Linked DNA regions of Sus scrofa. The protein of the gene in region 1 purifies or fractionates together with the protein of each later gene. This does not show direct contact. Links are inferred from orthologs where the notes say so. Each region holds a gene or a part of one and is shown on either strand. Other genes may lie near its edges. The genes, in order: PBXIP1 and SLC27A1.

Evidence for each region.
Region 2: the proteins of PBXIP1 (region 1) and SLC27A1 purify together in Homo sapiens (co-immunoprecipitation; 3 studies listed by BioGRID and IntAct, with this or other methods). This does not show direct contact. The link is inferred for Sus scrofa from reciprocal best matches to the Homo sapiens genes PBXIP1 and SLC27A1.

Annotation. Positions count from the first base shown.
Region 1 is NC_010446.5:94,840,114-94,843,916, reverse strand, and holds part of PBXIP1 (pre-B-cell leukemia transcription factor-interacting protein 1), read right to left. Parts: intron 2,163-3,803; coding exon 2,036-2,162; intron 1,780-2,035; coding exon 1,715-1,779; intron 1,647-1,714; coding exon 1,481-1,646; intron 527-1,480; coding exon 287-526; intron 173-286; coding exon 149-172; intron 1-148. UniProt on the Homo sapiens protein: Regulator of pre-B-cell leukemia transcription factors (BPXs) function. Inhibits the binding of PBX1-HOX complex to DNA and blocks the transcriptional activity of E2A-PBX1.
Region 2 is NC_010444.4:60,222,042-60,225,844, forward strand, and holds part of SLC27A1 (long-chain fatty acid transport protein 1 precursor), read right to left. Parts: intron 1,916-3,803; coding exon 1,521-1,915; intron 1,410-1,520; coding exon 1,248-1,409; intron 1,151-1,247; coding exon 1,081-1,150; intron 314-1,080; coding exon 222-313; intron 147-221; coding exon 37-146; intron 1-36. UniProt on the Homo sapiens protein: Mediates the import of long-chain fatty acids (LCFA) into the cell by facilitating their transport at the plasma membrane.

The DNA.
Region 1 (3,803 bases):
ACCTTGAAGAGCTGACAAGGCCTTTCACAGAGCCCACCCACATGCACGGCCCCCAGCATCTCTACTCCAGACCCAGAGAACCACCCATCACCTCCCTCAGGGCTGGGAGGGGACAGACTCGAACCAGCCAGGACCTGTCCTCACTCACCACTTTCTGAATCTGAAAGGCCACCTAAAAAGGGAGACAGAGGAGGCAGGTCAGGCCCTCTGTGGGGGGGCTGGGCAAAGGACAGCAGGAGGCAGAAGGGGCCAGAGGAGAGGCCCCAGCAGGGGAGGGATGGCTCACCGGAGAAGAGGAGGATGCCTAGACCCAGCAGAACCAGGGCCCCGAGGAACCACATGTTGAGGGAGATGCCCAGCTCCCCGCCCGCGGCCTCGCCTCGGGCCTGGGCCAGGTCCTCTACACCCGGGCGGGCTGCGGGCTGCGGAGTGCTGGGCTCCCGACCCCGCCGTCTCCGCAGACCCTCCACGTCCACATCTGTGTCATCCTCACTGCTGGAGCCATGGACCTCCTCACTGAGCCAAGCTGGAGGGATGAGGACAGGGCAGTAAGGCCACTGGAGAGATGGGACATCCCAAGAGATGCGGAATAGAGGCAAGCACAGGGAGGTCCTCAGCCCTGACGGTGGAGGAGGCACGTGGAGACCCCCACCCACGTCTGCCTGGGCATCCATAACCACCCCCGCCCAGTCCAGCAGCGGGAGATCAGTCCTTCCAATCTATAAACTTCAAGAACTTTTTGGAGTTCCCGTCGTGGCTCAGTGGTTAACGAATCCTGCTAGGAACCATGAGGACTCGGGTTCGATCCCTGGCCTCGCTCAGTGGGTTAAGGATCTGGCATTGCCGTGAGCTGTGATGTAGGTCACAGACGCAGCTCGGATCTGGCATTGCTGTGGCTCTGGCGTAGGCCGGCAGCTACAGCTCCGATTCGACCCCTAGCCTGGGAACCTCCATATGCTGCGGGAGCGGCCCAAGAAATGGCAAAAGACAAAAAAAAAAAAAAAAAAAAAAAAAAAAAAAAGATTTATTTATTTATTTTTTGCACTTTTTAGGGCCACACCCGTGGCACATGGAGGTTCCCACGCTAGGGGTCAAATCGGAGCTACAGCCGCCGGCCTACGCCTCAGCCACAGCAACATAGGATCCGAGCTGGGTCTGCCACCTATACCACAGCTCTCAGCAATGCCAAATCTTTAACCCACTGAGCGAGACCAGGGATCGAACCTGCGTCTTCATGGATGCTAGTTGGGTTCATTACCACTGAGCCACAACAGGAACTCCTACAAGAGCAGCTTTCACCCTAAAAGCACCCTCCTCCCTCCAACGCCACAGGCTCACATCAAGCTCCTGCAGCTATTCCCAGCCCCTGGGGGAAGCGGGGGAGGAGTTAATGATATAGAGGGTACCAAGCCACTAAGTCCTAGGGCCTGTGCCCAGCAGGGATGTCTTCTAGAAGGATAGTGACAAGGAAGACTCTCACCTGTTTTGGCAGATGAGGGCAGGCTGTTGGGGGGGCTCTGATCCTCCAGGTCCTGTGTGTCTGGTCCCAGGCCTCCCACCATGGGGGTCTCCTCCAAGTCTCCCTGGGCCTCTGTGTCTCCTGGGCCAGGAGGCTCCATTCCACAAGCATCACCTTCCAGGCTTCCCTGATGCAGACAGAGCCGTGAGCAGGCCCGTCCCCGCCTTCCTCCCCTCCCCCAGCACGGGTTCTCACCTTGGCTTCCGTCTCCTCTGGCAGAGTCGGGCCAGACCCGGAGCGCCCGCTCTGAAACAGGGTCTCTGTGGCGGGAGAAAGGGCTCAGGAAAAATACCACAGCCCCCAGCTGAACACCCCACGTGGCCCTCTGCCTCCCACAGGCCCCGTCCTGGTTGGAAGAGGCAGGACAAAGCCAGGATGGGACGAGGGAGGAAGGTCTTCAGCTGACATTAAGGCAGGAAATAAGACCGACCAGCCTCCCTCTCCCCAAGGAAACTGGGAAACCCCAGAACACGGGGGAGAGGTGGCTGCACCGCCCCCCCAGCAGCGCCCTGTTACCTTCTCCATCCAAAGTCCCAGCTAATTCTTCAGCAGCTGCCTTGGAGGGGCTCTGAGGGGTGTGGGGGGCGCTCTCAGGCTCTGGGTCCCTCCTGGATTCAGGGCCCAGTGTCTCCACAGGCAAGCTCTGGGGGAAGGGACACAAGCAGAAGGGCTGTCCCAGAGGAAGGACAGCAAGAGCACAGGGTGCTCCACTAGGGTCCCTGGGACCAGCTGCATGGCTCAGGGACCCCAACACACATCTCACCAGAATATGACACGTTCAGTAGCGGGCTGAGCCCGAGAAGGCAGGGGGCGGGGGTCAGCTGGTGCTGCGGCATCTCAGCTCCAGAGAGTGTTTGACCCATTCCCTAAACCTCACTTGCTGCTCTGGGGCACTCTGGGTACTCTGGAAGGCCAAGCTTCTATTAAATGGAGAAGCACCACTGGACCAAGGCACTGGATCACTCTACAAACCTGATGCCCCCCACCACCCCAGAGAGGCCGGCTAGAGCCAGGGCCTCCCTCCCCACAACTGGCAACTCAGTTACTGGCCGGAAGGTGGGTGGATGGTAAAAGAACAAAGTCCCCTGGATGCCGAAGGATCAGCCACATCCCCCACAGGCTTTCACTCCAGTTACATCTTTTTTTTTTTTTGTCTTTTTAGGGCCGTACCTGCAGCATATGGAGGTTCCCAGGCTAGGGGTCTAATTGGAGCTACAGCTGCCAGCCTACGCCACAGCCGGATCCAAGCTGAGTCTGTGACCTACACCACAGCTCACAGCAACGACAGATCCTTAACCCACTGAGAGAGGCCAGGGATCCAACCCACATCCTCAGAGATACCAGTCGGGTTCTTAACCCACTGAGCCACTACAGGAACTCTTCTTCACCATTTTCAAGTCACTTTTTTGCTCATGACCCCTCCCTAAAAGGCAAGAATCACAACTCCCTTTTTAAGGGAAGAGAGAGGTGAAACGGCCTTGCCCGAGGCCCCCCAGCTGTCAGCAAAGGCACCCCAACAGGAGGCCAAGGTTCTGACTAGGCGCATGGTGTCCATCCCAGTATCAGCCTGAGGACAGCTTACTCGAACCTGACGTCCTTACCCTCTCTCCTCCTGGCAGTGCTAATACACCAAGCCCTTGACAAACTTGCTCCAGCCCCTCTGTCCCCCAGCCTGCTGGCCCCCTTCTCAGTGGTTTCAGGGGCACAGGAGTCCCCTAGGCTCCGGCCCCACCAACTACAACCTGAATTGTAGGACCTTCCAAAACTCTCACCTTGTTCCCACCCGACCCATGCAGTGGCAGCCCGCTCTGCCCAAGGTAGGGATTGTCCTGACTCCCTCCACTCAAAGCCCTTTAGTGATTTCCCAGCAGGAGGAGGCCCGAATGCCTATGCCAGGCCCTTCAGGCCCCTTCCAGAAGTTCCCAGGCTGGTAGTTCCCGTCAAGGCTCAACTAGTATCCATAAGGATGCAGGTTCGATGCCTGGTCTCACTCAGTGGGTTAAGGATCTGGCATTGCTGTGAGCTGTGGTGTTAAATTGCAGACGAGGCTGTGGTGTAGGCTGGCAGTTGGAGCTCTGATTCAACCCCTTAGCCTAGGAACCTCCATATGCTGCAGATGTGACCCTAAAGAGACAAAAAAAAAAAGTTCCCAGGCTCTGGCCCCACCTCACTTCAACACCCTCTGACCCACGTCTCCAGCTCCTCCAATGGACCCCTCAGCTAACACAGCTCTCCCACTGTTGCCTCAGAACCTCTGCTTGTGCTGGTCTCCCCACCAGAATTT
Region 2 (3,803 bases), on another chromosome or scaffold:
GGAGCACAGGAGGGGCGAGAGGGGGCGGGGTCTGACCGTGCAGTTGTACTTGACACAGTCCTCCCAGAAGCGGCTGGCTGAAAACTTCTTGCGGAGGACCACCGTCAGCCCGTAGATGAGACACTGACCCACGCCCACGATGTTCCCTGCAGAGAGTGGACTCGATGAGGGGGGGTCCCCAGGGCCCCGCCCCCTGCCCCACCCGAGCTGCCCCTTGCTACCTGCCGAGTGATACAGGGGCAGGCAGTCATAGATCACGTCTGTTGCCTGCATGCGGTAGGAGTGGTGGCCGAATGCCGCGATGCGGTAGTACCTGTGGGGGCAAGGGGTGCAGGGGCTGGGACCCATCTCCCTGAAAAAAGCATGGAAGGGATGGGTACGTGCTGGGAACTAGGGACACAGCAAGGAGCGAAGCTGAGCCAGCCCAGCTCAGAGGGGCCTTACAGGCTGGCCAGAGAGGGACATGCAACAAAAAAAGAAAATGGTGCTAGGTGCCATGAGGGATATAATAAGGCAAAGAGACAGAGAGAAGCTGAAAGGGACACAGCCAGGGAGGTTGGGGTAGCCTTTTTGGGGAGGTGACCCACAAGCCAAGACAGGGCAAGAGGGAGCTGTGGGGCACACTAGGGAAGGGCACCAGGTGGAGGGCAGAACACATGCAAAGGTCCTGAGATCAGAAGGGGTCTGGCCAGTTTTAGAAAGTGGGAGGGCCGGAGGAGGAGGGAGTAAGAGGTAGAGAGGAAGAAAATGACATCAGAGAAGTGGCAGGGGCCAGGCAACGCAGATGTGGCTTTTATTATCAGGGCCAAGGTGGGTATTGGGAGGTCTGGCACAGGGGAGGCTTGATTTAGGATTTTAAACCCTCCTATGGCCACTGAGGAGAGGAGGGCTATTGGGGCAGAAGTTGGGGGGGGGTTGAGGAGGGGCAGCACTGTGTCCTGAGGTGGGCTGTGGGTTTTACTGAGTTGGGATCAAGATGCCCACAAGACCCCAACAGGAGCCGGAGGCGGGGTGGTGATCAGGCGGGACAGATGATCTGTAGTCCTTCCGCACTGGGGACAACACCCACGGGCCCCACACCTGCTGTGCACGACGATAGCAGCCTTGGGCAGCCCCGTGGTCCCTGACGTGTAGATGTAGAAGAGTCGATCTGAGAGAGAGAGTCAAGTGTTGGGACCAGAGGCTGGGGTGGGTGGGAGGAGGGGACAGGGTGGGATTCAGCAGAGGGACCCCCCACACCAGCTCACCATCCATGCCCTTGCCAGGGGGCTGTGCCAGGGGGGCTGTGGAGGTCTCCTTCAGCAGCGGATCCAGGAGCTGGGTGTCCGGCAAGAGGCCCTCAGGCCTCGAGTCTCCAGAACAGAACTTGACCAGGCTCTTGCCCAGCTGTCCGCTCACCTCGGCCACCGCTGAGGCCCGAAACATATGCCACGGTCAAGGATGGACAGGTCCCTTCCCACAGCCTGGGGGGGGCACCGTCTCCCTGCCCCCACCAAGAAAATGCCCGCCCCCAGCCTCACCCACTGCCAGCTCCTCTCCGAAGACCAGGGCCTTGGCGCCCGAGGTGCCCAGGCAGAAGGTCAGGGGCTCCCGCCGCAGGTTAATATTGAGCAGAGCGGCCTCCATGCCCGCCTTGGCCAGGCCCAGCCACAGCCCCACAAACTCAGGCCGGCCCTCCAGGAAGATAGCCACCACATCACCCGGCACAAAGCCCAGCTGGCGGAAGAGGTTGGCCACAGCATTGGAGTAGGCATCCAGCTGTGCGAAGGTCCAGCATGCGCCGCTGCCAGCGTCCACCAGCGCCAGGTGCTCAGGCTGCTGCCGTGCCACCGCTTGGAAGATCTGCGGGATGGTGTGGCGGGCGCGCTGGTGCCGCCGCAGCTCTAGGCGCACACGGATCAACACGGAGAGGCCGCTGGGAGAGGGGATGAGGGGTTGGTGTCACTGGGCATCCAGCCCGGCTTCTGGGAGACCTCCTGGAGCCTCAGCATCCCCACATGGAGAAAGCAGAGGGAAAGGTCCCCCTACCTCCCAGAGTGGCGAGGGTTCCCTGAAGACCCTTGGGTTGCTGAGCTCTAGGGGACTAAGGACAAAGGGCCATTTACCAACCAGCCCGGAAATAGGCGGGTTCTCAGAGCTGGCCAGACCATGCCATGTAATTGAGTCACCCCAACCTCCTTTACCCCAGCTTGCTCAGTGACCCTGAAGGAGCCAGGGCCCAGTCCTTCATTTCTCCTCCCTGGGATGTCCCCAGCACCCCGTGTGGACCTGCCACTGGCTCCAGCCTGGATGCCTCATGCTCCACTCCACAACCAGGCTGTGGGGTCCATCTGTGAGCTGGGTGACTGTCCCACTCCCAAGTTACTCGGCAGCACTAGGCACCCGTGGGAGGAGCTGCCTCTGCCCCAGGCAGGGCCAGGGGACAGGCTAGCAAGAGGCCCTGATGGCAGATGACTTGTTCCCCCATCCCCCTCAGCTAGTAGCTCTAAGGGGACCAGGGGAGCCAGGGGAAAGTAGAAGCCCAGTAAAAGGAGCCAGGTTCCTGAATGACCCTGTGGAGATGAGCAGCAGTCACGGATGCCATGCTTTCAGATGAGTGAGAAATGAACTTGTGTGGTTTTAAGCAAACAAATCGCTTTCGATCACAGAACTAAGAAATCCAGAATTTCTCAGTGTACGAGCTCAAGAAACAAGTGTTCTCCTGGCTTTCTTTGGCTTCCTACCCTGCCACCCAGAGCCCCTGGCTCTGAGAGGTTAGTAACCTTGTGCTGGATTAAGCCAATGACAAGTAGGGGCCTGTTTGTTACAGCAGCTTGCTCTGCCAATATAAGTGGTCCTGACTCCACCCCCTCTTTAGGCTTCATCTGGCACCAGCATCTGGCACTGTGTCCCACCAGCTCTGGCATCAAATTGGTTATGAAATCCATCCTCTGCACCCCCGCTGCCTCCTCTGTGCTTCCTTGATTCTCTGCAATAGCTTCCACACCCCTGGACTCAACATGTCCACTGCAGACAGATAAAAATATTTTATATCTTTTTTTTTTTTTTTGTCTTTTTAGGGCCACACCCATGGCATATGGAAGTTCCCAGGCTAGGGGTCGAGTAGGAGTTGTAGCTGCCAGCCTCCACCATAGCCATAGATAGCAACACAGGGTCCAAGCCGCGTCTGTGACCTACACCACAGCTCACAGCAATGCCGGATCCTTAACCCACTAAACAAGGCCAGGGATCGAACCATCGTCCTCATGGATGCTAGTCAGACTCATTTCCACTGAGCCACAATGGGAACTCCTGTTCCATATCTTGATGGCGGTGGTTACCTGCATGTGGTACCCCAAATCCCAACTGTACACTTAGAACAGGTGCATTTTATGATATATAAATTACACCTCAAAAATCACCCTTGAAGACAGAGCAGATTAGTGGTTGCTCGGGGCTGGGGGTATGGGAAGTGACTGCTAATAGGAACAGCGTTTCCTTTTGGGGTGAGGGACTTTTTCTGGATAGAGCTGATGGTTGCACCACACTGTGAATGTACTCGATGGTAAATCTTACATGCATTTTACTACAACAAATTCTTATATGCATGAATGAAACTCACAAAGATCATCTGTGGCACAGTTTAAAAAAGCAAATCCTTGCCTTCTAGAGATAAACTCTGGAAAACTAACAGATAAAAAGATATGCCACTGAGATTTAGACAGAGGAGGAAGTGGGTGGAGATAAGGAAACAAGCTTATGAAGATCATGGAGACTGGGGGATGGTCACATGGGTTTATTACCCAAAGGCTCCCACTTTTTTT